4 linked regions of the Drosophila melanogaster genome follow. The protein of the gene in region 1 interacts with the protein of each later gene in a pairwise test. Each region holds a gene or a part of one and is shown in the gene's direction. Other genes may lie near its edges.

Evidence for each region.
Region 2: the proteins of CG5890 (region 1) and Fkbp14 interact in a two-hybrid assay, tested with the Drosophila melanogaster proteins (one large-scale study listed by BioGRID).
Region 3: the proteins of CG5890 (region 1) and Shal interact in a two-hybrid assay, tested with the Drosophila melanogaster proteins (one large-scale study listed by BioGRID).
Region 4: the proteins of CG5890 (region 1) and Cp7Fc interact in a two-hybrid assay, tested with the Drosophila melanogaster proteins (one large-scale study listed by BioGRID).

The regions. Positions count from the first base shown.
Region 1 is NT_033777.3:25,853,203-25,861,264, forward strand, and holds the start of CG5890 (uncharacterized protein), read left to right. Parts: upstream 1-2,951; 5' UTR 2,952-3,771; intron 3,772-8,062. Other genes in the region: CG5886 (uncharacterized protein), read left to right, coding at 1-542.
Region 2 is NT_033778.4:21,492,153-21,500,064, reverse strand, and holds the start of Fkbp14 (FK506-binding protein 14), read left to right. Parts: upstream 1-2,854; 5' UTR 2,855-3,001; intron 3,002-3,290; exon of another isoform or gene 3,291-3,432; intron 3,433-4,540; exon of another isoform or gene 4,541-4,738; 5' UTR 4,739-4,740; coding exon 4,741-4,934; intron 4,935-7,912. Other genes in the region: TAF1C-like (TATA box-binding protein-associated factor RNA polymerase I subunit C-like), read left to right, coding at 1-1,048; CG46395 (uncharacterized protein), read right to left, coding at 1,252-1,434.
Region 3 is NT_037436.4:19,579,918-19,587,955, reverse strand, and holds the start of Shal (shaker cognate l), read left to right. Parts: upstream 1-3,387; 5' UTR 3,388-3,634; exon of another isoform or gene 3,635-3,645; intron 3,646-8,038. Other genes in the region: CG9330 (uncharacterized protein), read right to left, coding at 1-75, 135-782, 841-1,064, 1,165-1,421, 1,487-1,574; CG9231 (uncharacterized protein), read left to right, coding at 2,041-2,207, 2,272-2,482. UniProt on the Drosophila melanogaster protein: Mediates the voltage-dependent potassium ion permeability of excitable membranes.
Region 4 is NC_004354.4:8,473,268-8,479,805, forward strand, and holds Cp7Fc (chorion protein c at 7F), read left to right. Parts: upstream 1-3,849; 5' UTR 3,850-3,859; coding exon 3,860-3,928; intron 3,929-4,000; coding exon 4,001-4,897; 3' UTR 4,898-5,053; downstream 5,054-6,538. Other genes in the region: Cp7Fb (chorion protein b at 7F), read left to right, coding at 607-934, 1,077-2,251; Cp36 (chorion protein 36), read left to right, coding at 6,090-6,137, 6,227-6,538.

The DNA.
Region 1 (8,062 bases):
GGGATCACGAGATCGAAATACCCGCCCTGCCGCAGTTGCCTCCTGAACCAGAGCCAGTAAACGTCAAGCCAGTTAGTGCTGAAAATGTTAAAATGGAAATGATGTCTCGCAATTGTGCGGAACTGAAGCAAACATTGGCAAATCTGCAGAACCAAATGAAGCTGCTAACGACGAATGAATCGAAGACTTCCATTGAGGAAAAGAAGAAGGCCGAGGAGCAGCGTCAGGCGAACAATGCCAAGAAGAATATACGCAAGAAGGAGAAAAAGTCCAAGGCAAAGGCAGCAGCTGCAGCGGCGGCGGAAGCTGCAGCATCCACAACGAACGGTGAGGCGAACGGCGTTCAGGAATCAGCCGCAACGGAGTCAAAGGCCGAGCTAGAGGCAGCGGGTGATGCCTCAAACGTTAAGAACGAAAAGGAGCAGACCGTTGACATTGCGACAGACACCCAGGAGCTCGTAGGTGATGGCGACGCTATCACCGCAAAGTCACTTGTTGATATATCCGAAGTGCCTCCCCTAATCGATGCCAATGCCAACTAAACTACTGACTGTTCGCCTATAGTCCCATCTCCAAATCTCGGGCGGCCACCAAGCCTTCCCTGCAAAGCATTTTGTGTCATCCATGTCTCAACTGAAAAACGTCATCAATTACAAACCTACATGGTCCGAATTTTGTACTAGTTATTTATTGTACTTTGTATATTGTATTTATTTAAAGGATGTCGTCGGTGATCGTGTATTGCTGTTCAACAACAAATTGAGTAAAACGTGTTTCCTGCAAACAGAATAAGAATATTAAAATTATTTCTTTGGGTAAATATTTGCAGAATGTCCTTCCAAAAGATTTAAGCATAAATCTTAGCCCACATTTCGCATCAATTTGCATAAGTGGAGTGGAATGGGAAACTGCCAGAGCGCACAAGCTCGATGGCCATGGATTGCTTTCGTCATTGTTGGCGACGCCACAAAGTCTAGTGTTGCATGCAACACATTGCAATGCCAACAGGCGAACGGATGGGGGTGGCTTCAACGGTGGTGATGAGTGGTGAGTGCCTGCGGTTCGTGGCCAGGGTCATTATAATTGCGCCTTAATTATTTTCAACACGCAGCTGTCATTTTTGCCGGGCCCCAGATTTCCGCCATCAAATATTTAAGACGCATGCAACGTGGCGTATGCGTAACGCCAACTGCTGCCAGCGGTCACTCGGTGCGGGCGAGGGTGTTGAAATAAGGCCAGTTAAGTCACTAAAATAATTACACAAATTAATTTAAATTGCATAAAGAGGTGCATACGAAAGAAGGACTAATTATGCCAGCTCTCAAGGCAACAACTGTTTTTACCCCTTTTTTCACAGCATGTTTTATGTACTGTACCCTATATTGTTAGGTCCCCGAGCGTTCTTCCATGGTCATTAGAAATTTAATTAAAAATTTTGATATTGTTAGGAGTATAGGGAATTCTATTTATTTCAAGCTTCTTCCGCCCGATTGCCCATTAAGCGGTATTAAAACTGTCTTCCCCTCGGTGCCAAAGTGTCATACTTGTGCATATTTCACACCCTCGCTCGCATTCACAGAAATGTGTGCACATTTCGCAGGCAATGAGCTTTTGAACATTTAATGAGTTAATACGCTAAATTTGAAAGCCGCTCAAGCGTGCGCCAAGTGCTTCAAACACTTGTCCCCATCCCCGAGCTGCCCATTTTCCAGCTTGAATAATGAGAATGGGGGTATCAAGCCGCTAAATCCAGCACTGAAAAATTTTTCATCAACTTAATAGAAATGTGTTTATTTTTTAATAATATACATTTAGTTTGTAAGATATGTGAAATAAAATAATTTCGAGTTATTTATGAGAATTATATACGAATAAAAGATCAAAAAAATAAAACTAAATTTTTCTCAGTGTACGCACACACGCATATGCAAAACACTAAGCACTTGTCATTTGGCTGTAAACCCTACGCGTCCGTTCGTTGGTATAAAAAAAACAGTGCAAATGTCCAACAGACGAGCATATGTACATACATATGTACACTATAGGTATGTGCGATGTATGTACATATGTACATATGTGCGAAATGGAGGATTGGTTGGCTGTCGTGGCGTCGTATTCATCCTGAACTCATGGGTGTCATTTCTCAGGACCCTCGCGGTCTGCAGGATAACAGCAGCGTAACAGAAGAAGACCCTCACTGGGGACCAGGACCAGAAAAGTAGAGGCTGCCAGACTGCCTCACTTTTGGCGTTCAAGTGAAAGGACGAAGTCGCCGACACTGGTGTGGCAATACTTTTGGCAGCCAATTGTGCGGGCTGAGCAAGATGAATGAGGAATATGAGTGTTGCTTGCACAGTGGGCTACTTTCAAGGGTGTTGGAAGATTCATAACTATCTTAAAGATGCTTTCAGCAGTACTTCTTATGTGCGAGATATAAATTCAACAATTTCTAGATTTTGTAAATAAATATTTCCTTCTCTTATCCAAAATCATTTATAATAAAATAATAATTATTTTATTATAATATACAATATAATAATAGTTGTCATGAATTTAAATGTCACAAACAGGCTGTCTTTCATTAGTAACATATTTTAAAAATTACTCATACGCCACGTTGTCAGTCAAGTAAATATATTTGCCATTTAAAACAGCTCTTCCAATATTATTACAATTCAAACTAATTATATGCGTTATGTGGCTACTTAGTCCACTGTAACCGCCGAGGGCTATGCTATACCCTATGTGCCGCCCGCAACCCAAGTGAGTGCGCACCCACTCTCCGGCGAACTCGCTCTCCGTCTCCGGCGGAGTGGCTCCGGATATTTCGGCAACAGAAGCCTGGCTGCGATAGCCGGAGATTTTCCGAGCGAGGGAAAACCGAATGCCGAAGCGTCGCTGCTGGCAAACATTTTCCATTTTCGCAGTCCTGTAATCAGTTGTGTATAGGACACTCGCGTGCGCGCGTCGAACGGTTTCTGGCTTTATTTGTGGGAAAAGTGTGTGTCTGACGGCGAAACGGTAAACGGGGAAAACGCTGCGCGGTTTTTGCTGCTATCGAGTTCTTCTTTTGCTGGATTTTATATATGGAAACGATTGTTGCTGCTGTATCATTGCAGCTTGCAGCTTTAAATTTAACTTAAATGCTAAAACATCGTTTTGAAAAGCAACGCGAGAGTTAGACAAACAAGTTGGAGGAAATTTTCCAGCTACAGCTACAGCTGCTGCCTCAGCCAGCGTCGCAGTCGCTGTTCGAGATAAAGGATATGCCCGGATCTAAAAGATACAGTTTTTCCTCTTGTTTCTTTTTCCGCTGCTGCTGCTCGTGCTACATTTGCTGCTTGGCATTTTCCGCACAGCAACAACAATCGTTGAGACAGGACCGCAAGTTTTGCTAAAATGTAACATAACACCAAATAAGCAGAGTTAGGAAGAGTGAGCGCCAAATAATGCAAATAAATGAATAAGCCCAAATCATTAACAAATTAAAACGAGGCACGCAAAGGAGGGCAGGAAAATATAAATATCGAAAGGAGTCAAGTCAAGTGCTTTCGAGGAGCTGTTTGCTGACATGCTTTGAGGTTAATACCACCCACCACCACCCAACCGCCCACTACCACCCATCTCAACCATCAGCCATCACCAACTCCTCCTACCTCCCTCATCTCCGTTTTGGCCAATTTCTCCGTCTGCTTTCGCCGCTTTCTTCGTCAACGCCGCTGCTGCCGCCGCCGCCGCCGCTGCTGCCGTCACCATCAAAAGGCATCGAAGGTAAATATATATGTTATATTTTAGCCGAGTGTGTGTATATAAGTCAATGGGCCAACAAACTAACCTACAAAGTAAACAAAAGCGTTACGCTACAAATGCAAATTTTTCGCACACATGCTCAAGAACTATAAACAACAACTCATTTAACTGACGCCATGCCCCCATAAAAAAACCAAAAACAACGCAGCTTAAGACTAGAAATGAAAAAAAAAAAATGGAAAACAAACAGTGAAAAGGTGGAAATGGCACGGCAAATGAAACACAACAAAGCAAAACGCACGCTTCTAAAGCTATTTGTATAAAATTTTAATCGCATGCGATTTATTTGACTAGGCGCCAAAGTCGCACGCACGCACACCATCGCATTTTCGCAGAGGCACCCACACACACACACACGCAGGCTAGTGAAAATTCACACACTCACCTTGAAAAATGCGAAAAAACAGTCTGGAATATTTTGTTTATTTTTCGCAAAATTATGGAAAATATTTATGGGCTCTATTTGAAGTTTGAGCTGTGCCAGGTTTTTCATTCAATAATTGAGGAAAATAATGAAAATGTTTAAAAAACGCATCAAAGAGTATTTTTGTGAGATTATATTTAAAATTGGATGTGAGGCTTCGATTTACTATTGAAATGTTAATTTTCATATTTATTTAAACAAATAAGAATCTGTGTTTGAAGACGCACCTGGCTGCAATTGTTTACTGTTTACGGCACTGTGAAAATATATTAAATTGTTCATACATATTTTTAACTTTTGGCAGAAGTGTCGACAACTTGTTTATAATTTTCCAAAATAGTGAAGCTTTACATATGTTATTTTTTAGCATTGCGGTAATATATGGGTGAGAATCGAATATACTAACATATTCCTTGAGTATACGATTTGTTTGTTTTATTTTCTTTAACAATATTACAAAATGAATTATTCCCAGAAGTGGTAAAACTCTTTTTACATGGCGTTTAAATTGCGTCATTAAAAATTCCCATTATTCAACCCAATTTCCGTGTCATTTAATCCGTGACAAGCTGTTAAAAGGAAACAAACAAACAAAAGTTGTGCGCAACAATTGATAAGCAACAAAAGCAACTATCGTGCCGCTTGGCAATAAACCATAAAATAAATGCCAATTCCATTTAGATGCACAAGCCGATTAAAAAGTCAACTTGGCATAGTTTTCCAACTCGTGCGACATTGATTCGTGATTGATTTGGTCATATTGTAATCTAATTTCACCGATTTGAAAAGTAACTTCAAGTAGTGTAAATCACATTATGTAATTAATCAAATATATGGAGATTTAATATATATATTTTAAGCGATTTTACACGACAAGGTCCTTGCCAAACTAAATTCGCTGTCATCTATTTATATAATCCCTGGCCAACTATTTTAAGTGCTTCTAGCCGAGAAAAGCTGCATCTGCATCCTAAGAATAAAATGAACTTGGTCGCGGGAAGCTGGATGAAAAACACTTAACGCGCAACTAAGCGACAATTGTTGTTTTGTGTGGCATTTAAAAATAGAATCAAGGTGCGCTCTAGTTTCATTCATCCACACACAGAGACATCCCCACTCACACACACGGCGCACACACAGATACAGGTACAGAGCCTACATAAAAGTGGCTGCTGTTGTTTTGCAAGTGGGTGAATGCGGGGCAAAGGGGCGGTCGCCGGGATGTATGCTACACGAAACTGTAAATAGAAAAGTTATAAATAAAATTCACACGAGCCAACATTGAAAAAATGAACTTGGAAACTGTAAAAAATAAAATAAAATATAATAAAAACCTGGTGAGTGGACGCCATATAATGGCTGATCATTCAAATATTCAATTATTGGAATGAGCATCGATGACAGCACACAAAATAAATATTGGTAGATGATATATGTTAAATTTAAACATTTTGTGCAGCACATCTGGGCACTATTACTTACCGGTTAAAGGTCAAAACACCTTGGCCTTGGCCAAAAGGAAACTCTAAGGAAAACGCAAAGACACGCAAGGCAATACCAAACGAGAACCGCAGCTGTGAGCTGCAAAGTGATTCAACGCTTTTCGGCTATAAAGTGCCTAATCACTTTGGGTGTTAGATGTGTGGGCCATTCAATGACACTGGTAATTACTGGCCCAATCGAATGATATTGTCTTGGCCTAAGTGAGTAATGAGCAAAGGGCGTGACAATCGCCAAACGTCCAGACCTCGTTGAATAATTAAGCCTGTTCAAACGAACTGACTTTCAGTTAAGTAACTTGCACCAAAGGCCACACAAGTATCAAGTTACCAAAGAATATTATAATAAAATACCAAAAGTGTTGTTCGCATTTAACTTTTTTTAAGTGAAACCATACATTTGCGTTAAATATTATTGTGTTATATTTTCTTCGTACATAATATAACCACGAACCATTTAAAGGGCTTTAAATATGTATATGTAAGCATTTTATGCCACCAAAGGCAACCGCAAGCCATTCCCAGCGTGAACATCAATTTGCTAGCATTTGGCGACCATTAATGGTCAACTTATCGTGGAAAAAAATACTCCTCCTCCCATGGTTAAAGCCATAAAACATGCGTGTGCAGGCATCGGGTGTGCTACATACACACATATGCAACAGCTAGGAAAAAAAGGAATCGTTTAGCTTTCAAACAGCAACAAACTTGAAATTTATATAGCCAACCGCCAGATGTGTCTATAAAACTTGCACATCCCCATTCATCCCATACGAACATTCATTTTACGGAGGTTTTTCCAATTTTTTTCTTTCTTTGTTTCCCTCTTATATTTTTATCACCAGCTGATAAGAGCAAAGTTTGTCCGAAAGTTAGCGCCTGTAGCCGTAACACACATACGCCATGTGTTACAAACATCCGATGGAAAGCAAGAAAGAAAAGAACGAAACGAAACGAAATTACCCGCAATTTCAGAAAAGTTAAATGTCTTTGCAGCCGAGCATTTTGGTAACATTTTTTAATTGCCCCACTGGGGGATGGGCGGAAATCCACATTTACAAGCGAACATATGTTGGTAACATGCAATTAACAAGCCAAGTCCAAGCACTCTGCTGATGAGTAGATAGCTCGTGCAGGTCTCGACTATCACATACCCGGTATTTCTCTATCTATAAAAACAAAATGATTCCATTCTTGAAACAAATCTTTTTTTCGTATAACCATACTATAATAAACATTCCTTCCATAGTTAAATCATACACTAGGTTTTTTGAAGTAGCCTATTAAAAAGAGTGGCAACAACTATGCTCAGCCACCCACGCGGACCACTTACAGGCATTAATTACTATGTCGGGCCTGCCAAGTCAGCAACGAGCCACGAAAAGTTGAAGGACCAACTGGAAAAAAATATTGCATACTTTTCGGAATTTTCCCCCCAATTTGGGCAGTTTCCACGCTTTTCACTTTCTCTCTCTGTTTTCTGACAAGTTGTATGAGTTGCGAGAGTTGAATGTTTCTTTTTATTGCCATTGCCATTGTTTTTGTTGCTCTTGTGGCCCGTTGTTCTTGTTTTTGGCAACATTTTTATATTATTTGGTCGGTATATTGTTCTTGTAGATTTTCATGTCCATGGCGAACAACAAATGTTGAGGAAGAAGAAAAAAAGTTTGTTATGTAGTGGATTTTTCGCAGAACAACGTTAAGTTGAGAAAACAAATTCCCAAATATGTAATTGGTTTTTGAGTGCGGCGGGTAACTATAGTTCTGAATATTCGTAATGTTTTAAGAGTTGGCAAGTAGAAGTATCTAAAAATGAATCACAAAAATTTCGACTACTTTTTGACAAGTTTAACGGATATAAGGAGACAAATTATGCCACTTCTAAGCAATTATGTTGTGTAAGCCAATTTAACTTGTTTCGATCGAATTTGACTTGTCCTTGGCGGAAATAAATTAAGTCAGCTCATAAATTAAACCAATCCTGGCAAGACTCGCGGCTCATACACCCACGCAGCAATAAGTTCATGAACATATCTCGGCATATTTATAGCTTTGCCAAAGCCCGCTAAGCTTTTGCCATTTTGGCCAAGAAAAGGGCACAGCCACAGACCGAATGATTGTCTGCAAGTTGGCGCATATCGCCGAACCGGAAGTTCCGGGGGCCAACAGGGTTAGCGGGTGGAAATATCCTCGAATATCCGTGGCTCTCTTTACAGATCTGTGTGTGTGTGCGCGCCGATGTAACGACTTATTGTTCAGAATTTCGCACAGTTGAATACCAAATTGTGAATACCCAACTACTCCCCATTTTGAAGTCGTTGCAACTATT
Region 2 (7,912 bases), on another chromosome or scaffold:
TGTGGATGTCTATGCTGATATAGCAGAGCGGGTAACGACCTGCATTACAGGAATGCGCTTTATTGGCTTAGAGGGGGCCAGTGATCAAGCTTTTACCCAGTTGCTAACCTCCAACAGCTTGGGAGATGTTTACTGCCAAAGACTAACGCTTAGGGATGAAGAGGAGCATGTCCAGCAGATCAGAACCGGAACTCATACAACGGAAGCCATTCGCTACCTTGCCAATGCCGTTAATGAGCGCGTCCAACGCGAGAACATCCGCTGCACACAAGTCCAGTCGATACCAGAGATAAGAGACATCTTTCGAGATGGTGCCAAAAGATCAAAACCTGAAGAAAAACCTTTAATCGTAGAGGAAATCGAAATTGACTATGGCATAGAAGATACTGATGTTTCAGAAGATGAAAGCCCAGCCTCTGAAAAGGTAAAGGAAGAACCTTCGGAATCCAAGAAAGGTGGTAAGAAAACGCCTAAGAAAAAAACCAAGGTGAAACCAAAACGGCAACCCAAAAGGAAAGCTGCCAGTAAGAGAAATGTTAAAAAGCAGAAGAGCATCAGTCGCGGTCCCTGGCAGAAATCCGCTTACAAGCTGTCCCACTACACGGACATGATGTCGACCCGTTTGCTGGACGTGTGGGATATGGAGGAGTACGACACCACACGAGACGTAACAAGAGAAATGTTCGATGAGCGTATAAAGGGGAAGGAGCTGGAACCTGAACAACGCATGGCCAATTGGTTGGAACAATTGCCCAGTCAGACAGTGGTACCCACTGAGGACGAGGTGACCGAGGGAAATCCCGACATGGTTCCCGGTACAAGTCTACCAAAGCTATATGGCGCCACTACAGCGAACTATTCAGTCATTCCAGCCCTTAATTCCGATCAGGACATCGGAGAGCGCCTTTTGAGTCCCAAAAAGGAATCGCCTGTTGAATTTGGCCGCGAGTATTCTATCTTGCTGCCCGGCCAGAATACTATCATCGAGGACTATCCCTGTGCCCCGCCAGCTAAGAGGCCCAAGGTTAAACACGTAAAGGGTTTCTAGCTTAAGTTAGAGTTGTTAACCTTAATTTAAATTTAACAAAAATAAATAGCAGATTATAAAGTATATTAAATAGAAGTAAGTAGATTTAGAATTTAGATTTCTGCCAACAATATTAAATGTTTTTTATTTTTTATTCGATTGCAATAATTTGAATAACACAACACACACTTCACATTAGCCCATCCCGAAAACTTTATTGCTTGTTATACTTGCCATTTTCGATTGATGTCACTGGTTGAGGATGTATCTCCACCAAGATCGGGTTCGTAGGCTGGATTCACGATTCCCTCGATGGGCTCGACCACAAAACGATCATTCCTGCGTTTGAGGGCGTATCCCACAGATCGTTTTGCCATTTTGGGCTTATCTTGATCGCCGTGCAGCATTATATTTCGCCCTTTTTTTTCCAACACGCCACACGACCGTTTAGAGAGTGCCTCAGATTTCGACTGATTTTCAATTAATTTGGGCAGTTTGCATTTAATTGATTGATTCGATCTATCTATCGCTCGTCGGCGCTCAGTGGGGCGTAAACGAGCCAAGGGTGACAATTCCATAGGAGTGGCCATAGATAGAATATATGCTTAGTTTAGTTTAAGCTAAGCTCGGTTGAGCTGAGCATCCAAAGCTTTTAGTTGGAAAAGATTATCTTGAACTAAATGCAGCGAACTATTGAATGCTATTGACGGGAACATTGGCATATTCACAGATACAATGCTGAAGCTCAGCTCCAAAAATTTATTGGGAATTAAAAAATTTTTAAATTGATTTTGACAACATATGTGCACACTTAATATTAATCGTTTTCATTATATCGTATCGTATTAATCTACCAGTGTACAAAATTATCAAGCACGGTTTAAAAATAAACTGTAATAAATTAAATTAGAGTATGAAAACAAAAGAAAATGTCACATAATTTTGCCGAATTTAATTCGCCAATCATTAAATTAACTCTTTATCAGGCTCCACCCACAAATAAAATAAAAGAGGCGCCTGCGCACTAGAAAAAGTAGGCGAGGCATAATGTTGCTTAAACTTTGATGCCAGCAACATGTAGACTACGGCATATTCTTTGGAAACTCCTTTTAGTTAAACTTGAGCAATTGCTTGAATAGGTTGTGTGTCCTTCGTGTTCCATATATTTTTCGTTTTTGTTACATTTTTCAAAACGATTATTAGCTTAATAAAAAATGAATAACTTTTTGGAATACATTTCGGTATTACATTGTTCCTGTAAGTTCTGATTAATCATAAATTTAAAGTTAAATTTTAAAAAATTAATCTTACATATTAACTAATTTATTTGGGATAAGGAACACCTTTGATTGTGTCTTAACCTAAGTCCGCCTGATCCGCTCCTGAACAAGTTTCTGCTTGATTACGTGGACAAGTGCTCTCTCTTATTCTGCCCCCCGTATTGTGGATCGCGTTCCCACAGTATGTGAATCTCTTTTGGCTCTACAAAAACACGATCTTTCACTCTCTCTCGTACTCTTACACGTGTGGATGGTGGTGGATCACGATCCCCCGCCTCCTCCCGCTCACACTTTCCGGGTCTCTCTGAAGATTTCCACTCTTTTTATATAGGGGTGCACCCAAAAAAAAGATAGGGAATATAATGAAAAAAACATTGAAATACAAAAAAAACTATAATCTTATGAAAAACTTGGAGGAATGCAATATATATAAATAAGATTTTAAACTAAACTACAAAATAATCTGGTCTAACTTGCAAAGTGCCACAAAAATGTTTCTGAGTGTAGAAGTAGCGGTTAGTAAAACAACGTCGGCGGCTTCGGTTCCAGCATTTCTCGCCCGCACTTCGATCGAATCGGACGTGTTTGCACTTCACATCCGCCGTTTGCTCGCGTGTTTTCTGTTGTTCGCCCGCCGCATCCGCCCCCGCCCCTTCGCCGGAATCGAGTGATATCCGTCTGTGGAAGACCAAAGGTATATTACAGATATCAGATCGTAAATCGTGTGCTTGGCTTAGCGTAAACATCTTGGAAATGTGCTCATTAAGAAATGAAAATCGAGAAATCGAAAGAAAGCGTGTACTTTGCCATTGCTGTCGTGTCTCTTCCATTCATATTCAGTCCACGCCATCACACATGCATACACAAATAAATATATATACACACACATACGCCCCAAGAAAACCGAATGATGGAGGAGGAGAAAGAGAGCTTATCGCTACAAGTCCATGAAAATAAAAATAAAAAAATATCGCCGGTCATTTGCTCTTGCTTTTGTTGCTAAAGATCGGCTCGGGTCAGCAATTAGCATTTCTGATTCGAAATAAGAGGAAAACTCCTGACGTGTCGCTTAGGAAAAGATTTTCCGAAACATTTAGCGCCGGTCTGTAAATTGGATCGCTTACGGTAAACTTCGTACCGCCAGTTCACTGAACCTTTCATAAAAGACACACAAAAAAAAAGCTGAAACAAAAAGATACGTGTGTAAACGAAGAAGCTGGATCGCCCAACAGGTTTTAAGGCCAAAAAGTGGACGCTCAGTACAGTGAAGCGGCTTCTGAAAAAAAAGATTTTGAAATATATTTGAAAATGTGATTTTAGGATTATTAGCCACAGGAGGCCATCTCGTCTTATCTATTTATAGTATTTGAAGTATTTCTAGTCCCTAAATCTGTGGATTTTCTGGCTTCAGCTTGGTCTTAACTGTAACAATTGCATATCATAGCATATGAACTTATTAGTGTAATTAATCATTTTCAAGCTTAAGCAAAAAAGTAAGGCATATGTGTGTTCATGTCTCTGAGATTTCACTGTATAAGGAAAAAGAAGCAGAAGCGAAAGAGAGCAGTTGAAGAGGAAGATCAAGAGATGTTAATGCCGATTTCACGTAATTGAGGCTTGACCATTGCCTTTCCATTAGTGAAAGTTTTCCGACTATATAAAGACCCACCATATTTTATTTTTTGTTTGCCTTATTAGTTTTTTTATTTTACGGCTATTCGAATTTTTTTCGCTTCTTTTTTTTTATATTTGGGTGACCTAGGCGCTTTCAAAACTTTCATTTAACCAGAAACACCCACCAACATATCCCATTGGAAATGACTACGATGGTCATTACGCATACGCCACCGCGTACGCGCAATAATTTCGCTTGGCTTTGGGTCTTGGCTTGCATAATCCCCTCCAGCTGGTCGAGATGGTCAAAGCTGGTTGGTTGGTCGAATTCGGTTCCCCACTCGAAAATGAATTGCACATTTGCATAATGACTAATTTTTGCTGTTCGCGCATCCCATTCGCAATCGCTGCGAATACCCCTCGCCATCCATACGATTTCAATTTCAACTTTACACTGTTGAGCAAACAACTGTTACACCTCTCCGGGTAATTGGCTTAAATTCATCATTTAACGCTTGTGCAACGCTAATACGCGATTAAAACGAAGATGATGGCGAGTAGATGATAGTGATGATGAATCTGTGTGTATAAAAGTGATGAACATCAATCCGAGCAAGACATTGGTGCTTCGGTTTAGTTTCGAGTTAGTGGATCTTATCGTCTGTAGTTCGAACTCAGTTAATTTTAAGGATTAGCAAATCTTAAACTCTTTATAAGGTTTACTATACTCCTTGTAGTCGAGTGCATAAACACGTTCCCCTTTTTTTGAAAGTCTCTTACGTTTTGTGGTAATCAAGTTTGCCCATTTATCTTGCAGCCATGTCGAAATCCAATCTCGTTATCTCGTGCCTTCTGCTGGTGGCCATCAGCAACAGCCTGGTCCGGGCTCAGGATCTGAAAGTGGAGGTGATCAGCACGCCGGAGGTGTGCGAACAAAAGTCCAAGAACGGCGATTCCCTCACCATGCACTACACTGGAACTCTGCAGGCCGATGGCAAGAAATTCGACTCGAGGTGAGTGATCTTAAAGTGTACAAAACTAAAATAGGCACACTTTGTTATCAATGAACTAAGCTAAATCCCATGCTAAAGTGATTATTTCACATTGCCCCAAAAACTTCGGCAGAATGTCAGAGAGTTCAGGATGAAATATTTTTAAAGCCGATGCTGTCCGTAATCTCCACACACACGCATCCATTGGAGATGCAGATTAACATACTCGCAGATACATGTGTTTTCCGTATGGGATTAAAGCTGCTGGTGCTGCATAGTCAGTCTGTCGTCGCGGCGGCTCATTGCCGTAAATTAGACGCCAACTGATAAGCGATCTCATTGTTGCATTGTCGCTGACGCTGTTGTTGTTGTTTTTTGCTTGTGCTGCTGGTGCATTTTCCATGCCTGAATGCCCCCCTTCTTCCTGCAACCCAAACTCAAACTCAAACCCATTTTCCCGCTTTTTGTTTCATTTTTCTGTGGGTTATGGGCGTTTATAGTGACGCGGCCCTCAATTTTTGGCTTCATTAAGCAAAGAAATCGTTTTCCGGTACAAATAAGATTCTTAAAAACCATTTAAAAATATTACCCATAAACAATTTGTTTTCAAACTATAGTTAGCTCTTAAGCAGTAGTTTCAATTAAAGAAAATGATAAGGCGCTACTTATTTTCTTATCTCAAATATTCTTTCTCATATTCAACCTTTGACTTTCTTGTAATAAATCCTGTAAATAAAAGCCACAGCGAAACTTGAGCTCCCAGCCCAGATAGCCATACAAAAAACCAATTAAATTTAAAGGATAACCAAATTATTTCACATGTGCGGCTAATTAACACCCCAAAGTGGGTTGTTTGCCACCAGGCAAACAAAAAATCTTTGTGTAACCGTTTGGCAAGCGGTAAAACTCATTATCAGTGTTTTATAAATATCAGCTGGGGCAAAAACTTGTCGATAAGCGACCTCAACTAGATTAACTAAACTGATATATTGTCCGTTGATTGCATATAAATAAAATATACGTTGAGTGTGAGGGCATTACTCCACCACTCTCTCTCTCAGTTATCAAATTTTGATTTAATTTTACGACCAGAAAATTGTGTTTCTCGCAGGGGAAACGATTTTATAAACGTCTGACTGACCCCAAGTATTTCAAATTGCCCCGGCTTAACCCGTTTTGTCATATGCTAAAAAGGGAAAACATTTCATTTTCCCATCCATCTCATTGGACATGTTGTGTCCTTTCACTTACCTTGAGTTTTGGTAGACAAATTTTGGTTGCAAATTATGTGGAAGTTGCAATTCGTCTCTTTCGGGGCTTAAAAGTTTCGCAATTGCTGTTAAATTTGGCGTGGCAAAGTCTCTGTGAGGCAGGAATGGCGGAGTTGGCCAACTAACTAACTCAATCAGAGTGCGTCCCCGTCTTTGCCGTTTTTCTCTCTGGCCTGCCACCTGTTGCGCTGCGGCTTAAATGCCCTCGAAGTTGGCTAACAAACAAGGCACTTTGTGCCAGTCAAGTGCAGTCAAGGATGTCGACAGGCGTCCTCCTCATTCGCCATCTTCTGTTCGCCTTGTGCGAGAAATCCTTTTCAGCCACTTCTTGCTTTTCAGCCTCAAGCTGCGAACACAGCTCCTTCTGCCATTTTCGGCTTCGGCTTTTGGCCAAACAGTCTCCGCCTTGCAGCGGAAATTAGCTGGCTGAAAGCCAGCTTCACTTGGCTATAATTAAGCTTTTGCCGGCAGAGCACCTGAAAAAATGGGTTTAAAACGAAGATGCGATGCTCCTTGAGAGAGAGATAAGTACGAAGATTTTGTTCTGCTTTTGACGGGTTTGTCGATGGAATTTCTTATTGAAATGCCAATCAAAATGAAAAACTGTCCTAAGCACACAAGCATAGGGAAACGGAAAACGAATATACGACTATACGTGCTTAATTGATATTAAAATGGATTACAACCTACTTGGTTGGCCATAAAAGAAACTCTACTATATTTCGGACAATTACAAATATACCCCCAACTGCCCTCATCCCTTTGCATTTTATACTCGTAACTAATTCAATAATGAGGACCAGGACCAGAGCTGGAGTCCTGTCACGTGCCTGCCGCCTTTTATCTCCATTGTCCCTTGGTTAGGGATCCAACTGGCGGAGGAGTCCATCATGTCTACCTGTCATAGCCATACCCGGGTCACGTGCAGCCACAGTTTGTCAATGACTTTGGTCCGCACTCCACATCTTCATTAGAATTTCGCGACGCGGCGCCTCCCGTTTTTGTGGCAACAAGTTGAGCTCCACTTTTGACCCGCAGACCTTCTTTTGGCCGCATAAATTATGCAGCCTTTCGTCGCTATATTCTAATCAGCCTGACGCGTAACATGACTACACTGCTCCCTTTCACCTGCTATGATATATGTATACTAGTATGCCCCCCATCACAAGATTTTCATGTGCGCTGTGTCACTTTTCCGGGGAAATTAATTTGTTACTTGAGTTGCAGCAACAAACTTGGTGATGTTTTCGCTTAAAGTTTCGCTGAAACAAATGGAGAGATAGTGTAAAGGAAATTTTAGGAGCTTTAAGTTAGAGCTCTTCATAAACATATTTAGTTGGTATTTTATAAAGCCATATATGGTATTTGGGGTCAATTCACACCTTTATGCGACACTTTTGATGAACATGTTAATGGGCCATATTTCGTATGGGTGAAAGTTGAGACAGCCAAATGATAAAACCACAAAAGGCAATGTCCGATGCTATAATGAATATGTTTTAATTGATTTATTAATACCTTTTGCTGTCCAAAGGTACGCAAGTAGCATTTCTTTCAGTGCCAGCCGTAGTTTGAATATGAAAAGAGGAGTGGCTCTTTTGTTGGCATCCTCGAAAACATGTTTCACAAAAATTTTTGACAACGTAACGTTGAAGTAGTCAAGGGGAGGAAATAAAGAGGAGCACAAGTCAGTTACCTGAAGCATCGGGCCATAACTTGCGATGTTGT
Region 3 (8,038 bases), on another chromosome or scaffold:
ATTTGGGCCTCGTATTCACGTCTTTGGGACTTCAGCTTCTCCGTCTTGGTCTTCTCGAACTGTTCATAGTTTCCCCTGGGGAAAAAACAATTTATATTTAAATTAGGCTACATTTTGTAATTTGTAATAGTTACTTGTATGCCTCCAGTTCCTGGGAATGTAGGTGAATAATGTCTGTCGGCACCGTGTCCAGGAAGTTGCGATCGTGAGAAACTACCAGAATGGTGGTGGCCCATGTCTGCAGATAGTTTTCCAGCCAAATAATGGCTTTGATGTCTAACATGTTCGTCGGCTCATCGAGCAGTAACAGATCGGGTTTTGAGAACAGTGCCCTGGCCAAAGCAAGACGCATGCGCCAGCCGCCTGAGAAGGATTTAGTTGGACGCAGCTGCATATCTGCATCGAATCCCAAGCCCTTAAGTATCACAGATGCGCGGGCCACAGCCTTGTCCGCCTCGATGTTCTGCAGAGAGGCGTAGGTCTCGCTCAGCTCATTGGACAGCGTCGCATCCTGAACTCCATTGTTAAGGGCAGCCAGAATCTCCTTCTCGCGGGTCAGAAGTCTCGTTCGCTCAGTATCACATTCCAGCACACTCTCCACTGCTGGTGTGTCATCGCCAACCACCTCCTGCTCCACGTGCAGCACCGATATGTGCGAAGGGATCTGTAGCTGTCGCTCGGCAATCATGCGGAGCAGTGTAGTCTTGCCCAGGCCATTGCGTCCCACCAGACCATAGCGGCGTCCGTAAGACAGCAGCAGATTCGCATTCTGCAGAAGAACTCTAAATGGAATTAACAATAATTTTCGGTTGCTCAATTTCGACAGTTAGGTTGCCTCACTTTTCGCCAAAAGCCAGGTCAAAGTTTTCGATCTTGATGTCCATGGATCGGTTAAGACCTTTCTGATCCAGCTTGGTGTTCTTCTTGTTGGTCACCTGTGAGGCTGTGGCCGTTTGTAGCTTCACCGCAACAGGAATCATACCATGTTTGTTCACCTCCTGCCGTTTCTCCTGCTTCTGCTGCAGCTTGGCCTCCGCCTTTCCTAGTTTCTTGGAGTCCACTTTCTGTTAAAATAAGAATAGTTTAGTTGTTATTTAATGAAAGTCGTATTGATGGCGCCGTTCATTCAGTTTATTGGAGTGGTTCGTCAAGGGGAACACTTACATTGGCGCCATCTTTGTTGGCCACCCAGATGCTTTGCATATCCTTGTCCAGCCGCTCCATGTTCTTGGCCATCTCCTCGATGTTGACCGGCGCGTTGAGAACCTTTCGCTCCACGTTGACCTCGTTGTTCTTCATGATGTTGAGGAACTGCTCGCAAAGCGTACGTACACTCTCCTCCGACCTATCACAGTCGACGCTCTGCAGGATGTCGCCCACCGCTTCGAAGATGTCATCGCCGCTTTCGAAGTCCTCCTCGCCTGGCAATTGGAATTTGTGTGCGGGGTAAAGAATAAAAGATCACAGGCTAGTGCAAGGCACTTACTTCCGGTGAGCACGCCAACGACATAGGTGAGCAGCTCGTGGTCGATTTTGGGAAACTCGCGCTGCAGAATGCTTGTGTACTCGCTCATCTTGACCTTGATCGCAAATTCGCTTTCTGGACGTGTGGCAGTCGGCTTTTAATTGACTTTTCCGACTTTTATTCCACCGCAAACGAAAACTAAAGGGGATAGCAGAGTGACCGTTGCTGGGTCGACTAAGCATATTTCAGAGATGGTCACACTGCTTTACTTCTAATATTTTTCCCTACTATATATTTTTAAATATCAGATTTATTTTTTCCAGCAGTTTTAGCACCATCAAAATTTCACCTGATTAACAAAGAATTTCCAGTTTAGTTTAGTTTGTTGTTCATTTTTTCAATCACTTCATTGTACAGTGTGAACGTCTCTCAGGGTGACCAAAGAAATCCCAGCTGTTTTCACAGTTATCGACCGTGTGACAGCTCTGTTATGTTAGCAACCACTGTTAATCGAATTGCATAAAATTCCAATTCTCTTTTGCAAGATTACTTGTGAAACGATTAAAAAAGGCAATATGCTAAGCAAAACGGGGTTAATTGGCGCCTTGGTGCGTAGATCCTTCGGCACCAGTCAGATGTTGCGAGAGACGATCAAGAACCACGAGCCAAACAATCTGGAGCGCCGTATGTTGGTTTGGACCGGCAAATACAAGTCGCAGTCCGAGATTCCCAATTTCGTTAGGTAAGTGCCGATTCTTAGAGAGCAAATGCAACAGGTGTCTAAGTTTTGGTGTCAAAACTTGCAGTCAGGATGTCATGGAGCGCTGCCGCAACAAAATGCGCATCCGCCTGGCCAACATAATGATCGCACTCACCGCCGTGGGATGCGCCATTATGGTGTACAGTGGCAAGCAGGCCGCCAAGAAAGGAGAATCCGTCACAAAGATGAATCTCGAGTGGCACAAACAGTTTAATGACTCTCAGCAGAGCGAAGGATCTGCTCCGGCCGCCAAATAGAAAATCACTCCGAAATCCCTCACTCGCCTAGTAATATTAGAACTGGCCAGGCTTCCATTTTCACTTCCAAAGAAGATTGGCTAAAACTGGCCTTAAAAGATTTTGCTAATAATCAGTTGGTCTGAAGATTGTTGAAAATTTTTCTTTTTAAATTTAGATTTTTATTTTTGATTTGAATGTGTGCGTTCAACTAAAAAAATTCATAATTATCCCAATTGGCCCATAAACTATGGAATGGAAAATGTTTGCAGGGCCAAATCTTTAGTGAATTTTTTGGCTTGGAAAGCACTTTGCCATAAGCATGTGTACAAGCCGTGTCCTTGATAGATATTCAGTGATATTTGTAATGTTGTATTATCAAAAATAAAACATATTTATTGCAAATCATGTTTGGGTGCGCTGGGTGAACCAAATTAATATTAAGATTTGGTCATGTTTTTATAAATAAATTATAAATTAACTATAATTAATTAAACTATACATTTTGGAGATACAATTCGGTTTCAAGTAACTTTCTTTTTCGATTATATTCGATTCAAAACAGTATAAAGGTTTGCTAAGTGTGGGTAACAGGTAAGGGGCTAATAAACTATAGATCCTGTGAAAAATGCATGGCTATCGACTGCGACTGAATTGTGATATCCTTGATATGAATCCATTGATATGTGGTATTAGCCATAAATATTTGATCATAGTTCATTCGGAAGGCAACATGAACATCTGTTTCGATTCTGCATCGTCTTCAGAGGCCAGTGGCCACCACTTGCTCGTCGAAGTGCGCCGACGCCGTGAGCATCTCGCTGCTGTCCCGGATTCTGGTTCGGATTTGGGTTCGGACTCGCATGCTCCGAGTGAAACTACCGACTGTCGGAGGCGCTGGCGCTTTTGCATTTACTTTTCACTTTCAGTTTGTCGAAAACTGTTTGTCTGAACGCCCCCAAGAAAACGCCGAGCGGAGCAAAAAGCGGGACGCAGTTTGGGCCAAGTTTTTTGTGGCCCCCGTGCGTGCAGAAAAGGCTGAAAAAGTGTCAGAAAAATTGTTTTTCCAAAAACAGACAGGGGCCAGCATCGAATTTCCCGGATCGAAAGCGTGGAAAATGTACACGCAGTAGTGCGGAAAATGTGCGGCTAACGAAAGGAGGAACGGATGAGGTGGGAAAAGTGTAAGAGGCGAGAAGTGTAAAATGCAATAAAACGAAAGGCGTGCGTATGTATGTGTAAACAGTTTTCCCCAATTTCCCAGCGAAATGCGGGCAGATGATGGACGATAGTCAACAGGAGTATAAAAAGCAATTGTTTAATCAAACATCAGCGAAAGCAGATTGCCTTCCCAGAAAATCCATAAAAAATGAGAGATTTTCCCTGTCTGTCTCTCTTGTTCATTTGTGTGTATGTGTGTGTGTGGGAGTGTGTTTCTCTGTGTACGGGTTTGTGTGGCAATATTCGTTTGCTTTTTTGATTTGTGAAAATGTGTGTATCCGCGAATGTTGCTGTTGTTGTTGTTGTTGTTTTTGTTGTTGCTGTAGCGCTCGTTCTCTCAGCAACAACAACAGCCGTAAAAAATAACAGAAAACCAGAGGGAAAATAAGTGTGGAAAATTCACATCTAGTTCAAACCGCCCATATCCTTGCCATGCGGTTAGCTCATTTTAAAACACGCTTTTTAAGTGCACCTTATGGCGTGCCTGCAGCCCAACAACAAGTTGTTTTTTCTGCATAGTTGGCCTATTTAAATCGACAATCGCCTCAGCCCCCCTCTCCACACACGCACCACCCACTCAGGGTATTAATTTGACCAGCGGGCCAGCGAAAATAGAGAAACAACATAACACGTTAAAAAAGCGTTAGGCACACAAAATATATAACGGTCGGTCCCACGAAAGTGAAGGTCGTCTGTAGGAGAGAAAGAGAGAGCGAGGCAGCCAGGAGCAAACAGGACACTGGGAAAAATCGTTGCTTTCCGATATTTCTTTAAAAATTCCTTCAAAGCATAACAATAATTCCTTTAAAATTTATTTTTACTGTTAGCCAGATTGTAGTGCTCCCATTTACATTTTACTTACATATGAACATAGTTTTTTTGTAGTATTTCTCTCATTCAAATATAATCATATAACTTATAGGGATTTTGATGTGTTTCTTAACAATAAATTTCTTATCTTATAAATAAACCCAACATTTGAAAATGTTGAAGTAGAATCCCGGAATTGGATTGCAACCTAACATTTATTTTCCCGATATTAATGAGTATAATAATGCAGATATCAAATTTATGTACTATCCTTTTGCCCAGTGCAGCTGCAGTCCATTTGTTGGCGTAAATGTGTGAAAAATCCTTGGCTTGGTTTTTGGCGCAATAACAAAGCTGCACTAATACCAGCATCACCGATGCAAGCGCACACACACACAAAGGCTTTATCTCTCTTCTATGTGTGTGTGTGTCTCTTTGATGACGCGCTTAAAGCAGCAGAGGCAGCGCAGTTGCAGCGCAGTTGCAGAGCAGCTGCCGCACATCCAGTAGTTGTTGTTTTGTTATCATTGGTTTAAAATTACACTTTTATTGCAGCTTAATGCACATGGACACCGTAATGCGGTTCTTTTATTACCTCACCTCAAATCGATGGGGTTGATCTTAATAGAAATAAGTGCTTTTACTCTTGAAGATCTTAGTAATAATTATCACGAATATCCTGTAGTATTGAAGATTTTTTGTTTCGACCGCAAATTATTTTGCTACCCCTGGTTGTATCTCTATACATATATCTCTTACACCCCAATAAGCACATATAGTACACAATCCCGTACGTGGTCACAGTTGTACGCGTATTTATACGCAGATATAAACACATTTTACGCATGAAAAGGCTTAGCGGGCCTACATAAATTACGCCATTGGCCACATCCAACCAAGCAACCACCACCCCATCGCTGTTAGCCGCACCATCCACCCAGTGCGACCCAGGATTTGGCTCTTTGGGCCACTTGCACGTCCACTGGACGCCCCGCATCATCACATCCCTTTGAACCGCTCTTGGTGTCCTGCTTGCCATGGCCATCAGGACGAAAGTTTTTCGGTGCTAGTGGTGGTGGATTCGCTACATTGCAGCTCTTCCAGCTGACGATGTTGGCCAACTGATAAGCACGACTCTATAAAGTTTTAATGTCTTTTGCAATTAATGCGAACAACGGCGGAAACTCCAAAGTTTCATCCTTGAACATCCCGAATCCCAACATTTTCTTATATTGTGTAAGCTATGAATTTGAGAAAAACTTTAACGGTTGAGAAGTATACGTATTGTATAATGATTACATAGATATCACACAAATGATGTGGGTATAATAATAAAAGGTAATAGCCAAAATAACAAGTGTAAGGATCAAATAGTTGAATATGGAATACATGTTATTTTGATTCAGTTTTTCCAAGTGCACGTGCCATTGAGTTTACCAGTTTCCAGCAACCCTTGCTTCTTCTTGTTGCTGCCCAGACTTGTTTCGGAACATGAAATTTAAATAATAAATCACCTTGAAATCGAATTGCTGTCGACGCATTCGGCCTTTTCTTGTATTGTCCTCTGGCACAACATGACGTATGGGCAATGCTTGAATTAATAATAAGCATACGCAGTGTGTTGCGGCTACATAAAAATTAATATGCGAAGGATGCTGAAAGCTGGTCAATATTTTTCTTGCCAATGCAAACAAATATTGTTGAAATTATTTTACTCCGTTTCCAAATTGAGATGATTTTAATTGTCCATGCATCAGTTGGCGAATAATTAAATGCATTTAATGCATGCCTTTGTTTGAATTTATAGCCAACATCGCGATGTTTATGATTCAATTACAAATTTATGTTTTTTAAATAATTATTGCAATCGGCTATTAAGATATGTGAAAGATTTTCTGTCCATGTGCAAATTTAATCCGAATAATTGTTTTCAAAAGCAACAAATTTGATTATGATTCGATGTTTTAATATTATTATAATAATAACATAAGCATAATTAGCTTACCCGTTGGCAATGATAAATCTGCTGACCCAAAATGCAGTGCACTGGGTGTGGGATCAATATTGCAGCAGAGATATTTATAGAGCTCTGACGATTGAAAATAAATCGTGTATAAAACCGATTTAATTTTCATGGGGGGAAAAGGTGCCACTAATGCGAATTAGTTTCTTTGAAATGCTTGCCAAATAGACACCTTACTCGAGGAGACACCTTCAATTTTGTTCCTAGTGGGAGGATACATAAAACCCTACTTAAGCGCGGCGACACACTCACGGGCAAAAGTGAAAAGTACAAGGAAAATTAGAAAATCTTTACAGGTCCCAGAGACAAATGGCGAAATGTTTTTTGATGTTGGGCCGACGGCGAGGGCAAAGGCCCTCCTCATCCCCAAATCCAAACACCAACCCAAACCCGAATCCGAACCAATCCCAGTCCGGATCCCACAGCCTAAGCCGAACGCTAGCCCGAAACCGAAACCGAGACCCACATCCTTAGCCCGTATCCAAAGCCCAAGGGTCCTATGAGCAGGCGCAGAGAAAATGAGACTCTCACCCACTCTCCCTTTCTCACATTCTCCCATTCTCTCGTTCTCTCGCGCTTCTCTGCTCAGTAGTACATATTTCTCATTTTTCATTAAGCCGATGGAACAAATTTAAAAAGAACGAAAAAACTAATTGTAAACAAAAGAAAATCATCGCGGGGAAATGTGGGAAATTCGAAGCAGTTGGGAAAACACCGAGTATTTTTGGTCCGGTCAGGAGGTTGTTGTGATGCCTCAAAAATAGTCCAAACAACAACAACAACCAACTAAACACGTAAACATTGTTAACTTATTGTCAATAAAAATACAAAACTGAAATGCCCACCAGGCTATAAAATTGCCTTTATGATCTGGAAACGCGTCCATTTCTTTTTGATTCGCATTTTGCCTCAAAGTTGCAGTTGTGTTCAACCTGCCCGCCGTTTCCACCCCCCGCCCCCCTCGATTTTCGCGAAAATGACTTCCGCTTCGAGAGGGCTAAAAAGAGAAAGTCAAAGTCGAGCCGCCATAATAAGGCGGGCCCACGCAATGGCTGCGATGGAAAATTCACAGGATTTCCGTAGATTTCTCGTGTGCTCCGCACATTAATGCCTAACTAGCATTTGGGTCCCGCAAATTGAATGGAACGGTCTCGAGGGCCGAGTGGGTGGTCCCGGTCCGCCTGCCTGTTTGTACTTTATAATAAACAAAAAACAAATAATAAACATTAAAAAAACGGGCAGTCAGGAAACACAAACAGGGGTGGAAAAAAAAGGAATGCGATGCTGATATGCCCTGAAAGCAACATTAATAGATAATAATTGCGGAGGCTCCGAGGTGTAAATTGATATGGCTATTCCCATGCTGAAGGTCAGAAAAGTATGCTATATTTATGCTGAGCACTGTGCCATGATGGTGGTACCTTTGTATATAGAAGAAATCTTAAATTATTATTATTTGCTAAAACAAAACAATTAATTATGTTAAATTGCTTATAAATTGTTTTGGAATAATAAGCTACAAT
Region 4 (6,538 bases), on another chromosome or scaffold:
TACTTTAAATGTATTAAATGTATCATTAAGTGTTTTAAATATTCCCACGACATATTATTTGACTTATTTGTTTATGAATTGCATTATTACAGTTGAGCATATCTAATAGAGATTTTACACTGTTTAATAGTTTGTAATACAGTGTGTTTATTTTTGAATGAATGCCATGTAATGCGATATGTTGCACAAGAAAATAATTGATTATATATAAACAAACATTTGTATAAGCTGGCATAATTCAAAATGTTTTTCACAATACGTTTAAAACTAAAATGTTTACTTTCCGTTCGCATTGGCTAGGTTCCACTGTGGACAATTCTGCGTTTGGCGTTTGGATCTCAAGCCATCGAGACACTCGACACTGAAGAAAGCGGCGAACGTCGGGAACATGACTTTTGACGGAAAACATGACCCGCGAACTATTTGAAAAGGTCAGCGAAAACAAAAACAAACAGAGTGGCCAAGCCGGCGTCTCTGGGGAAGAAGACCTTGCCCAAAGTCAAGACCATTGGGGTCCGCGTGCTGGCCGAGATGATATAAAGAATGTGACAATACATTCTGCGGCTAGTAGCCAGCAAGGCAGACAACCGAGAAGATCTAACCGAGATGCGATACTCCATGGCAATGATCCCGATTCTGGGCCTGCTGCTCGTAGCACTGATCCACGCCGCTCCCGTTGAGGTCGTCTACACGGGCGAAAGTTGCGCCTGTCCCACCCAACTGGGTTACCAGCTAAATGTGCCCAATACCCCAAAGCCAAAGAAGTATGTCGGTGGCGAGTACGGCTATCGGGTGGAGAAGCCCGTCCAGACGAAAGCCAAGATTACCTACAGCTTTGACTTCACTGTGGAGCAGCCGAGGACACCGGCGCCGCCCAAGAACAATCCCGCCAAGCTGTATGCCAAGGTGGACCGGATCACAGTCAACAAAGCGGGTAAGTGCAAACAAAACAACCAATGATTTCATGAAAAACTTCTCTTAAGCGGACAGTTCTCTCTCTTGGGCGGACATTTCTCTATATACATGTTTCTCCATGTTTTCCTCTAACAACTTTATCTATGATTTATATTATACAGATTGCCAGGCCAAGAACAAGTCAACATGCGGCTGCTCGAGTTGCTCCGGCCAAAAACCCAGGTACGTAGCTTCACCGGTCAGGTCGCCGAATGCCATTCGTCGTCGCCGGGATGTTCGCCAGCCAGGTTCACTGCTCCGCCGTCGGCTAATGCGCCAACAAAAGATCCAGGAGCGTCCGCCACGCTTTGTGAAGCTCTATCACAAGGATTTGACTCCTGCGCAGGAGAAGCATCAGCTTAAACTTTTTGGCCTCTTTCCCGTGGAATCACCAGAGTCAGTGGCTGCCGCACCCAAAACCAAGAGAAAGACGAAGAAAACCCAGCCGAGCTGGATGGGATTGGGAAGGCGTTTGAAAAAGCGAGATATTAAGGGAGAGTTTGATCTGCTCGAACAAGAACGATCCCAGATAGATCTGACTGCGCCGGAAATAATCCAGTTTATGCCCGAGACTCTGAATCCGGACTTTAGGCCCGGTCAGTGTCACGTGGGCTGTGGAGCGATGACAGCATCGGCACCACCACCAGAAGAGCCAATGCCCAAGGAGGAGCAAGTGCCTCAAACGACGCAGCCTGTGCAAACGGAACCGCCAGAGCAGCTCAACTCGATTCCCGCCAAGAGGGCCGCCTATGGTTACTATCCCCTGCAGATTCCCTCGCCATTGGGCCGTCGGGAGGACTACAAGTTCGTGGATGATTCGCAGCTTAGGAGCCTGTTGTCCACCACTTCTGTGCCGGATCCGCAGGAGTATAGCTCCACGCCGTTACAGTTTGCCGGTGATTTGGAATCGGTTACAAGAAGATCCTATGGTGTACCACTAACGAGTCTCGGCGGTGGCTATCCCGTGGAGCATGTCTCCGACTCCCAACTGGACAGCATTATCTCCGGGATAGTGTACAATCATCCTGCCTACGATCATTACTCCACCGAGGGCAGTCTGGTCGATCCGGAGCCAATTCAAAAGCAACAGACGACGGATTTTCTCAAGAAACTCATCGATGGCCGGCTGGGCGGCTGGGGTTTCGATCAGGGATCGGAAACCGAGCACAGTTTACACAATGATTACTCCACACAACCCGCGAAGACCTATGGCTATAATAGCCAAACCCAAAATGGCTACAGTATAGACACCTATAATGCGCCACCCATTACGGATTACCTGAGGGCCTGGTTCTAGTGCCCAATCTAACCAACATAAAATACATAGTGTTTAGAACTTAGTTTAAACGAAAAAAAAAAAAAAACAGAGAAAATCATAGACGAAAAGTAAACAAAAAGAAAAACAAAAGACAAAAAAAAAACAGAATATAATAAATTGAAAATACATTGTGGTGTTTCTTTCTTTATTCACCCAACGTCTTCGTCTTTCTTCTCTTTGCAGCTACGGCGAAGACGCGGGCTACGGCTACTGAAGAGAGATCTTACATATAAACCAACAATATCAAAACCGAAACCCAAACCAAAACTCCAAACCGAATGCAACCCAACCCAACCCAACCCATCGATCTGCTGAGCTCGGCTTAAAATCCAGCCGAAAGTAGGCCAGTGGAGCACTCCGCTTTCGGGTCTCCATTCGCTTGTATATATGTACATATATATATATATATATGTATCTACGTGTACTATAGAAGTTATGAATCCAACCTCCGATTTCTGTTTACGTTTTCCGCTTTTGTCGGCACTTCAAGAAGTTGCCCCAATTAACTGGTTAATAAAGTGTTTGCCTGATTAAAATGTGCTCGATTCGATGATTTGGGGTTCCATTGGGTGCACCTTTGGCATAGAAAGAGCTAGCTATATGATACCCCTAAAAGTATGCCCACCGAAATGAACAGCTCTTAATCCTAAGCATTTCAAATATTATAATAGCCTAATGGCATATTACTTTGATAAATAATTAAGGGTTTTAGCATTTATTTACCTAACACAATTCTTCTGTTTTTTAGTCTTAGTCGTTAGTCTTAGTAAGCTCACTTATCATTAAAGAGCCAGTATATATAATATATATGATTTATTTGCATACGATCACGATCTGTTAATGGCCAAATATTTATTGTTCTACATAAACAAATGGTGGTGGTGGTTCATCATTCAGCGACAAAATTCTTGCGATTGCATACTATTGAAAAGCCAAAAGATACTCGCAACCGAAAGCCACAAAAAACTCACTGAACTTCGTGACCATAAGAGCAAAACATTTCTAGAAGAATACTCAAGATTCATAGGTACTAAGTAATAATAAATAATGTATAGTATGCAAAATGCAATAACTGGTTATTAATCTATCGTTTCAGACTAGAATTTTATAAAATATGTCAGGCAGACTTACTCACTTATCCTTTGATTAAAGAAGTAGGGTGTTTAGTAACATAGTTTATTGTGCGATTTTTGTAGAATCGAATGCGATGTAATCCCAAGACCTTGTAATTCTCGGCATGTCAACAATGTTTTACAGCATCCAATTAATGGCACATACACCCATTAAAAAACCAACTAAAGTATCGTTAAATTATTGCAAGCGAACCCATTGACTAGTGCCAAAGAATTCGAATGACCCTGGCTTGGTGTTTCTCACAGTTTTTTTTTTTTTTTTTTTTTGTTTTTTTTCTTCTCTCTGACGCATCAAGATCGCTGGAGATTCGTGGATGAGACATTTAGTGAATAGTGAATATGGCATATCTGGTTATAGATCACGTCCCGGCACGCCATTTTATTTTTTAACCGAATCGAGCTACTTTTGTGGGTATTTAAATGGATTCCATGGGAGCCGGGGCCCTCAGTCGAAATGGCAGCCGACGGCAGTTGGCCTATACTACTCTTGTTGGTCTCAACACAGGCCATTATTCACGCTGAGGTGGGTTCATTATATACACTCCGTTTATACAATAAATAAATAATGCTTGTATATTCTTCATTATTCGTTCAGAATCTAAGTGAATCCACGCCCGGCCCCGATGAGGAATACAATGTGAGCACAACTCCGGGTGCGCCGCTGGAAGAGACCACCAATCGCTTGGCTGCTCGCGTTGAGCCATACGATAAGGGTGATCGGGAGCAGTACGATGTGATCGATGTGGCCACAGCTACCGGTACGGTGATGGGCAAGCCCAGAAGTGGACAGACCACGAGAATCTACACCACCGGCGAAGTGGACGAAAGCTTTTGGCTAAAGCATCTGGGCGATGACTTCAAACATGCCATCCATCTGCAGGTGGGCGGCACCAACGAAGAGTACAATCGCCTGATTAACCGGACCCAGAACGGTGTCCACGAGGAGGTGCATCACGAGTATTTACCGGGGGCCGAACGACCTGGCAGCGCAGTCCAGCCTCCATCTCCTCTACCTGCGCCACACCAATCGCGTCCAGCTTATCGTCAGGGTTTCGACAATCGAGCCATGGCCATGAAACAGCAGTATCTCATCCATCAGCAGACCCAGCAATCGCATCCTGCCCAGCAACGCTATAACTATGCCCAACAGCATGCACAACACTATGCACCACAACCACAACTGCAACCGCAACCACAACCACAACCACAATACCCACAGCACACACCGCACAGAAACACGTATGCAATGCCTCAGAATTATGGGCAGCAGAACTACAAGCCGCAGAGTTATATTATCAACTCTAGCGAAGATCAGCTGCACGCCGAGCAATCGAATCCCTCGCCAATGAAATCAGCTGGAGAGGATCGACAACATCACGAGGAGGAGTTTGACTCCTTTGGCGGTCAGCTCAACTTCAAATCACCCTTCAATGACTACGGCAGTCGACCAGCACGAGATCTCACCTACCTTCTTTATAAGCGGGGTCTCTAGAAGCTAAATCCATGTCCACGTCAAACCAAAGACTTGCGGTCTCCAGACCATTGAGTTCTATAAATGGGACTGAGCCACACCATACACCACACACCACACATACACACACGCCAACACATTACACACAACACGAACTACACAAACACTGAGATTAAGGAAATTATTAAAAAAAATAATAAAATTAATACAAAAAAAATATATATATATACAAAAATTTGTTGTGTTTGAATTGAATTAAGAGCTTATCAAGAAAAAAATTTCAGTGACTCATAATACACTACTCTACAAGTTTAAATTGAATCAACAATTTAACTTTCATTGCTCAGGTTTTTAGTAACAATGTTTATATAAGTTTAGGTATAACAAATGATTTAAATATAAGATACTGTATTTCACATTGAGACGAAACAATCCACCGAAAATCATAAAATATAAGAATGTTGCATTTTATTTTTAAAAATAAAGATGCCTTTTAAGAGGAATAACTTAAATGTCTTTAATACCTTTGAATTTAATTATATGGCTAATAAACACAAACTTAAAGCTTAAAACTGCATCGAATTGAATGCGGTTATAAATGTACTTATATATCTAATATAATCTGCTAATATGGTTTACATGGTATATCTTTCTCGGAAATTTTTACAAAAATTATCTATTCATATATCTCGAGCGTAAGATATTTATCAGTTTATAGATAACATCTTTAAATTTGGGTGATTAAAAAAAAACATTGCTGCAGGGCATGTTTATGTACACATTTCAGTATAAGTCCCAAGTTAAAATGCAATGTAAAAACATATAAAGGATATTAACTTCAAACCCAAAGGATTGCAGAGAGATTGCAGCACAGCTGTAATCATCGCAACAAGGCAACCAAAACGAGACTCTCGTAGCGTTGGCATCATATTCGATCTTTGGAAGAGCTATGATTCAAGCCAAGGGAAACAACTGCCAAAAAATAGAAGATTGCGACGAGCGGAAAGCAGAGTGGTGCACCACGGTGCATAGGTGCATAGGAGGTTGGTTGTCTAGAGATCTGGGCACGATGGCGAGACAAAGATGCGGCGCAAAATCGGAAATGGAGATGGATCACGTAGCCGGCCATGGCGGGCAGCGATTATAGGCGCTATAAAGAGCCGGAGTCATCGCCAGACAGCGAGCAGTAGACGATCCACACGTAAACGGCAACATGCAACTCGGTCTCTGGTTTGGCATTTTGGCCATCGCCGCCACGCCGGTTAGTAGCTTTTATCCATGGCATTCGCATTGGGCATCCCGCTAATCTCGCAAACTCTCTCTCTCTCTCTCTTACCTCCTCCTCATTAGCTGGTGAGCGCTAACTATGGTCCCGCTGGCGGACACGGACACGGACATGGACATGGACAGTACCTGTCCGGTCCCAATGCCGGACTCGAGGAGTACGTGAATGTGGCGTCTGGTGGCAACCAGCAGGCTGCCAATCAGATCGCCTCACAGGCCGAGATCCAGCCCACGCCGGAGGAGGCCCGTCGTTTGGGTCGCGTCCAGGCCCAACTTCAGGCCCTCAATGCCGATCCCAACTACCAGAAGCTGAAGAACTCCGAGGATATTGCCGAATCTCTGGCCGAGACCAATCTGGCCAGCAATATCCGTCAGGGC